Linked DNA regions of Canis lupus familiaris. The protein of the gene in region 2 purifies or fractionates together with the protein of the main gene of each other region. This does not show direct contact. Links are inferred from orthologs where the notes say so. Each region holds a gene or a part of one and is shown on either strand. Other genes may lie near its edges.

The links.
Region 1: the proteins of EEF2 (region 2) and EEF1A1 fractionate together in Homo sapiens (co-fractionation; 3 studies listed by BioGRID). This does not show direct contact. The link is inferred for Canis lupus familiaris from reciprocal best matches to the Homo sapiens genes EEF2 and EEF1A1.

What each region holds. Positions count from the first base shown.
Region 1 is NC_049233.1:35,820,479-35,824,773, reverse strand, and holds the start of EEF1A1 (elongation factor 1-alpha 1), read left to right. Parts: upstream 1-1,494; intron 1,495-1,609; coding exon of another isoform or gene 1,610-1,718; intron 1,719-1,781; coding exon of another isoform or gene 1,782-1,882; intron 1,883-2,428; 5' UTR 2,429-2,462; coding exon 2,463-2,606; intron 2,607-2,869; coding exon 2,870-3,049; intron 3,050-3,163; coding exon 3,164-3,460; intron 3,461-3,561; coding exon 3,562-3,712; intron 3,713-3,798; coding exon 3,799-4,055; intron 4,056-4,133; coding exon 4,134-4,295. Other genes in the region: uncharacterized protein LOC119874198, read right to left, coding at 592-837, 1,164-1,494, 1,610-1,718, 1,782-1,882. UniProt on the Homo sapiens protein: Translation elongation factor that catalyzes the GTP-dependent binding of aminoacyl-tRNA (aa-tRNA) to the A-site of ribosomes during the elongation phase of protein synthesis.
Region 2 is NC_049241.1:55,976,974-55,980,351, forward strand, and holds part of EEF2 (elongation factor 2), read left to right. Parts: intron 1-51; exon of another isoform or gene 52-116; intron 117-192; coding exon 193-371; intron 372-578; coding exon 579-684; intron 685-1,127; coding exon 1,128-1,241; intron 1,242-1,471; coding exon 1,472-1,610; intron 1,611-1,779; coding exon 1,780-1,975; intron 1,976-2,582; coding exon 2,583-2,841; intron 2,842-3,274; coding exon 3,275-3,378. UniProt on the Homo sapiens protein: Catalyzes the GTP-dependent ribosomal translocation step during translation elongation.

The sequences.
Region 1 (4,295 bases), on a different chromosome or scaffold from region 2:
AAAGGAGAATTTATTTTGCACATGCCACAGAACTCGCTTAGCACTGGACACATAGTAGGTTTCAAGCATTTGTTAACAGATTGGCTGGAGGAGTTGCAGTGATGTTCCACACATGGAAGAGACATACTGATATAGTAACTAGCTCATTAAAAATAAAAGTTCCTTCTTGAAAGTATTTCTCAGTCTGCCCTGATTGCCAACCAAAAAGGCCTCATCCGGTTTCGCCCTAAATTTATGCTCAAATGGAGTTAAAATCCATTTAACAGAAAATGAACTAATTTATTTAAATGGGCTAGGCCACCTTTAAGAAGCAGTGATTCGCAGCAAGTGTTGGGGATAGGAAATTGGGTGGATAAGCTTGCTGAAGCCGTAGATCTTAGTTTCTACTTGAGATCATGCGGAAAGACTGAATTTGAAAAATTCTTTTTAGGTTGCTCATGCTAGCAATCAAATGAGTGTACACTGTAGAAAAAATGTACCACGAGAGTAGACACACATAGGGTCTTTCTATAACGTAATGAAACTAGAGTTAAAAGGCAGACTGTGGGATTGAAATCTATTCTGAACTGAAGAACTAGACGTCTGGAGTACCATATGGGGTGAACGTGTGACTCGGGCTTCGGTAAAAGCAGCGGGCTCGGACTGGAACAAGCCAAAAGGCTAGCCCAAGAGCACATTCGTCCGGGTCACGGCCACCGAGTTGAAACCCTTGCGGATTCTCCGGCTGTGAAGGCGGCCCCTCGGGTCCCTCGCTGCCCTGGGAGCCCGGGCCTTGTACTCTCCAGCCCCGAGAGGAAGAGAAGGCAGGGGCGAGGGAGGAGCCAGCCCAGGGCGGACCTGCGACGAGCGGAGGAAGCGGCTCAAAGGGGCAGTCCTGGACCTTGGAGAGGACCAGGTTAAGAACTGGAGGTATACTGCGGAGGGAAGGCGTACTCCAATCGCCACACCATCTTTGCAGTTAAACCAGGAACCGTAGAGGGCAGATTCAGTACTTCCCCGCAGGGCCGCCTCCTCGCCCCCCCGCCCGCCCCTTCAGCTGGAGCTGAGAGTAATTCATACAAAGGAGGACTCGCTTCAGCCTCGGGGAATCCCAGGGACCGTCGTTAAACTCTCACTAACATAGAACGAGCGGAAAGCTCGTCCCCGCCTCCCCACCCACTCACTCTCGCCGTCATCGGGGTCAAGAGGAGCATGCGCGAGGAGATGTGCGCTCTTTAGTGGGCTGAGCGCACATCGCCCACGGTCCCCGAGCAGTAGGGGGAGGGGATGGCGACCGAACCGGTGCCTGATGGAGTTGGCGCGGGGTAAACTGGGAAAGTGGTGTCGTGTGCTGGCTCCGCCCTCTTCCCCGAGGGTGGGGGAGGACCGTATATAAGTGCCGTAGCCGCCTTGAACGTTCTTTTTCGCAACGGGTTTGCCGCCAGAACACAGGTGAGTGCCGGGTGTGGCTCCCGCGGGCCTGGCCTCTTTGAGCTGCCAGCGGCCCTCGCGTGCCTTTTACAACGGCCGCGCCACCGAGCCACTTTACGATGTTCTTGACCCCGAATTTCGGATTGTGAGTGGGTGGGAAGGTTCCAGGCCTTGCGCCTTTTTTTAGGACCCCTTTTGCCTCGTGGTTGGTTTGAGGCCTGGCTTGGGTGTTGTGGCGGCCGCGTGCGAATTCCGCCGCACCTTCTTGCCTGCCCTCGTACAGTGGTTTAAGCCTCCAGACGTTTGACCTACCAAAAGAAGGCCGCTATGGTTTTCTCCGTCGAGATGGTTGAGCGGAGGTTGGTCAGGACTTGAACGGGGTGGGCTTTTCCGCGGTCGTCGCGTTCTTGGGGTGTGGGGCCGCCGCGAGGCGCGGAGGGCGGCGACGAGGCCCGCTCGTCCCGGCGCACATGTCCGACGAGGCGGGGAAGGCCCACGAGCCGTGGGCGCCGCGTCGGACGCGGGAGAGTCCCGTGGAGTGGGCCGGGCGGCTCTGGTGCCGGGCCTCGCGCCGCGATGTACCGTCCTACGCCGGGCGGAGAGGCCGGCCCGCTCGGCACCAGTTGCGTGCGCGGAAAGATGGCCGCTCTCCGGCCCTGCTGCAGGCAGCTCAAAATGGAGGACGCGGCGGCCCGGGAGAGCGGGCGGGTGAGTCACCCACACAAAGGAAAAGGGCCTTTCCCTGTTAGGCCGCTGCTTCCTGTGACCCTACGGTGTACCGAACGCCGTCTTGGCACCTCCATTCCGCCTCAACGCCTTACAAGCAGGCCTTCCCCGGAGGGGGGAGGGGATTTTATGCGGTGGAGTTAACCCCACGCTTGGTGGGTGGAGACGAGAGTTGGGCCAGCTTGGCCCTGGTTGTAATTCTTGGAATTTGGTCTCTGCGAGTTTGGTCGTGGCTTATTTTCAAGCCTCCGGGACAGTAGTTAAAAGGGTTTGTTCCTACCCTAAAATTTAGGTGTCGTGAAAACCACCGCTAAACCTAAACCAAAATGGGAAAGGAGAAGACTCACATCAACATCGTCGTCATTGGACACGTAGATTCGGGCAAGTCTACCACTACTGGCCATCTGATCTACAAATGTGGTGGGATCGACAAAAGAACTATCGAAAAATTTGAGAAGGAGGCTGCTGAGGTTGGTATACTAACTTAATGAGAGATCGTTAAAAAAAAGTCGGCCAGTGTCAACTTCCCCAAAACTAGTTACTAGTCTATCAGAATCTGCTGCTTGTGGTAGATTGTTTGTGCTTGCTGAAGAGTTTTTTATCTATGTAACTTTGGGAGATAGAACTACCTAACTGTAAAGTGGAATCCGCATTTCTGCTTAAGCAGGAGTTAGGGATTTCAAGTTGGAAGTTTGTGTTTAAGTTACCAAGTAACCATTCTTAATCCTTACAGATGGGAAAAGGCTCCTTCAAGTATGCCTGGGTCTTGGATAAACTGAAAGCTGAACGTGAACGTGGTATCACCATTGATATCTCCCTGTGGAAATTCGAGACCAGCAAGTATTACGTGACCATCATTGATGCCCCAGGACACAGAGACTTTATCAAAAACATGATTACAGGCACATCTCAGGTTTGTAGGATTACTTGAAAATAACTGTAGGCTTGGGTTTTGTATGGGAAAAAAGGGGGAGTTCATCTTTTTGAGGAACATTTATTTAACAGGATGTCTTTTTGTCTTTTAAAGGCTGACTGTGCTGTCCTGATTGTTGCTGCTGGTGTTGGTGAATTTGAAGCAGGTATCTCCAAGAATGGGCAGACCCGTGAGCATGCCCTTCTGGCTTACACACTGGGTGTAAAACAACTAATTGTTGGTGTTAACAAAATGGATTCCACTGAACCACCCTACAGCCAGAAGAGATACGAGGAAATCGTTAAAGAAGTCAGCACCTACATTAAGAAAATTGGCTACAACCCCGACACAGTAGCATTTGTGCCAATTTCTGGTTGGAATGGTGACAACATGCTGGAGCCAAGTGCTAACGTAAGTGACTTCAAGGCTTTGAGGAAGTGATAGAAGAGGCATATGTTGACACTAAATGACAACAGTTTGGGGAATGCTAATGGACAATCTTGTTTTTTTAGATGCCTTGGTTCAAGGGATGGAAAGTCACCCGTAAAGATGGGAATGCCAGCGGAACCACACTGCTTGAAGCCCTGGATTGCATTCTGCCACCAACTCGTCCAACTGATAAGCCCTTGCGTCTGCCTCTCCAAGACGTCTACAAAATTGGTGGTAAGTTGAACATTGCCATTTAAAAATACGATTTATGGATTGTTCTTCACAGAAGGTATCTGACACGATGCTTCTAAATATTTTAGGTATTGGTACTGTCCCAGTGGGTCGAGTGGAGACTGGTGTTCTTAAGCCTGGTATGGTGGTCACCTTTGCTCCAGTCAATGTTACAACTGAAGTAAAGTCTGTTGAAATGCACCATGAAGCTTTGAGTGAGGCTCTTCCTGGGGACAATGTGGGCTTCAATGTCAAGAACGTATCTGTCAAAGATGTTCGTCGTGGCAATGTGGCTGGTGACAGCAAAAATGACCCACCAATGGAAGCAGCTGGCTTCACAGCTCAGGTAACACACTTAAGAGTGGCAATGTTCTCTTTGCTAGATCCTGTTTGAAATGTATTAAATGCAATTTTTTCCTCCAAGGTGATTATCCTGAACCATCCAGGCCAAATCAGTGCTGGATATGCACCTGTGCTGGATTGTCACACAGCTCACATTGCCTGCAAGTTTGCTGAGCTGAAGGAAAAGATAGATCGTCGTTCTGGAAAGAAGCTGGAAGATGGTCCCAAGTTCTTGAAATCTGGG
Region 2 (3,378 bases):
TGCACACCTTTTCCTTGCTCCTCCAGAGGGGATGGCGTAGAGTTGGGCCTTGTAAGTGATGACTAAAATTTCTTCACTTTGACCTGATGGCTGTTGAAGAAAACTGACGTCTGAGGCCCATGGTGCCCAGGGACTCTTGTGCTTTCTGTACAGCTGTTTACTTCCGCTCATAGTGTTCTCTGACCCTCACAGATCGACCCTGTACTTGGGACCGTTGGCTTTGGGTCTGGACTCCACGGTTGGGCCTTTACCTTGAAGCAGTTTGCAGAGATGTATGTGGCCAAATTTGCTGCCAAGGGCGAGGGCCAGCTGGGGCCTGCTGAGCGGGCCAAGAAAGTGGAGGACATGATGAAGAAGCTGTGGGGTGACCGGTGAGTACTGGGGGAGGTGCAGGGCACTCTGGTACCTGTGTGCCGGGGCAGGGACCTGCCTGCAGTGGTGGGAACATGACTAAGGGCCACCAAACGTCTGTAGGGTCCTTCTGCCCAGCTTGGTTTCCTCACTCACTTGGGTCTCCTGTTTCTCCAACCCATCTACCATCGTTGAGTTGGTGAAATACTCCTGTACTCCTCTGCCAGGTATTTTGATCCAGCCAACGGCAAATTCAGCAAGTCAGCCACCAGCCCTGACGGCAAGAAGCTACCGCGGACGTTTTGCCAGCTCATCTTGGACCCTATTTTCAAGGTGAGCTGCTGAGTGTGCTTCATGGATGTGCGTCCCCTGGGCTGTCCTTGGGCCTGGTGGCTCCCGGAGGATCTGTTACCTGACCTAACTGGCTGGGCAGAGCTGGGTTGACAGGTGGGTGCTGGAGGAGGGTGAGGTTTGCCTGGTAGGAAGCAGCTGCACATTTCCAGTAACATTCCTGAACCCATCTTCCTGTTTTTTTTTTTTTTTTTTTTTTTTTTTTTTTTTTTTTTAAATTTTTATTTATTTATGATAGTCACAGAGAGAGAGAGAGAGAGAGAGAGGCAGAGACACAGGCAGAGGGAGAAGCAGGCTCCATGCACCGGGAGCCCGATGTGGGATTCGATCCCGGGTCTCCAGGATCGCGCCCTGGGCCAAAGGCAGGCACCAAACCGCTGCGCCACCCAGGGATCCCCCATCTTCCTGTTTTTGTGACTTGTCAGGTGTTTGATGCGATCATGAATTTCAAGAAAGAGGAGACCGCAAAGCTGATTGAAAAGCTGGACATCAAGCTGGACAGTGAAGACAAAGATAAGGAAGGCAAACCACTTCTGAAGGTGAATGCGGATGTGCCTCTTGGGGTGGGCCTACCAGCTTTGCACTGACTGGAGCTCTTTGTCATATCTTCCAGTCATGTCCCCATCACCAACAGGGTGGTCAGGGGATCTGTGTTGTTGGCACCTCCCCAGGAGGGGCAGCTCAGAATCTAAGTGCCTCTCACCAGGACCTTGGGCATGGCATTCTGAGGGCTTTGGGCCTTGCTTGACCTCCCTGTCTTCTCCTGTAGGCTGTGATGCGCCGCTGGCTACCTGCCGGGGATGCTTTGCTGCAGATGATCACCATCCATCTGCCTTCCCCTGTGACAGCCCAGAAATACCGCTGTGAGCTCTTGTATGAGGGCCCCCCAGACGACGAGGCAGCCATGGGTATGTGAGGATCACCTGCGTCCTGGGGTTAGATTGTTGGGCAGAGGCCTAAGTATTTTTGTGGCTGTGGTCAGGTGGTGATGCTCATTGGCAAGTCCAGGTCACAGGGTTCTGTGAGGGTGAGCTCTGAGGGAATCACATGTTTTGTTTTGGGAATTCCTCTTCACAGGCATTAAAAGCTGTGACCCCAAAGGCCCTCTCATGATGTACATTTCTAAAATGGTGCCAACCTCCGACAAAGGTCGGTTCTACGCCTTTGGTCGTGTATTCTCGGGGCTGGTGTCCACTGGCCTGAAAGTCAGGATCATGGGGCCCAACTACACCCCTGGGAAGAAGGAGGACCTGTACCTGAAGCCCATCCAGAGGTGAGGTGCCCAGCAGCTCCTGGGTACGTCCCAGTCTGGTCCATATCCAAGATTATCTCTTTCCACAGGGAGGGTGACAAGACATAATGTGGTCCAGAGAAGGGTGGAGGACCCTTGAAGCTGAGGGAGGGAGTGATTTGTCTGGGTGAGGCGCACTGCGCTAGTTCTGACTTGGACAGACCTGGCCCTAAGGTCAGGGTGGTGGCACGCATCTGCAGAGCCGTCTCGAGAGGCTAGTGGTAGTCACCATTCCCTGGCTCCTGGTGTGGGTAGTGGGAAGAGTGAACTTCCATCTCTCCAGCTTCTTGCAGCCCTGATTTTCATTGGTTCTCAGGTTCCCGTGACAGTCCTATCAGTGCTAGGTTGGGTGTGGAGCCCTACATAGGGGAGTCGGGGAGGAGCAGGTGGCTTCTGCTTTGGGGTAAGAGAGCTGGGACTTATTGTCACAGGAACTGGGCTGATAAGGTGAAACTAGGGCTAGGGCCTGAGGCTCTGGGAGTTGGGTTCACATCAGCATTTCAGGTGGATGGGATGGCCACAGGCTTTAGAAGGAAGGGGTGTTTTGGGGTCATTTCGGGATCTGGAGGGTTTTTTTTGTCTTCCCTAGAACAATCCTGATGATGGGCCGTTATGTTGAGCCTATTGAAGATGTGCCTTGTGGGAACATTGTGGGTCTAGTGGGAGTGGACCAGTTCCTGGTGAAGACTGGCACCATCACCACCTTTGAGCATGCCCACAACATGAGGGTGATGAAGTTCAGCGTGAGCCCCGTTGTCCGGGTTGCTGTGGAGGCAAAGAATCCAGCTGACCTTCCCAAGCTAGTGGAGGGTCTGAAACGGCTGGCCAAGTCGGACCCCATGGTGCAGGTAGGTGGGTGCCCTGGCAGATGGGAACACCGCGGTGCAAGTGGTTAATTTGTGGCTTACATAGGGCTTGTCACAGATTTACGGATATTCAAATCTTGGAAAGTCTGGTGTGTGCTGAGCATACACTTTCCCTGGCAGAGCTACTGTGTGACAAGGTGGTGGCTTTTTTCTGAGAAATCTAGTTAATTCTTTGTATACCAGTTCTATTTTTATGGTTTGGCTGTGGAGCAGATTGTGAGGTTAACGAGAATAGCAAAAACACAGCTCTTGCTGCCTTTTACGAGCCCTGAGTTGCCACAAAACCCATTTCTGGTGGGTCTGGTCTTCTCTATCTGGAGGGAAACCTGGAGCTTTATACCTGTTCCTAGAATTTATTGGGGTCTCTGAGTGTCTTGGGGTCCGTGCCCAGAGCCTAACTCCTGGCCCATTGCAGTGCATCATTGAGGAGTCCGGGGAGCACATCATCGCGGGGGCTGGGGAGCTGCACCTGGAGATCTGTCTGAAGGACCTGGAGGAGGACCATGCGTGCATTCCCAT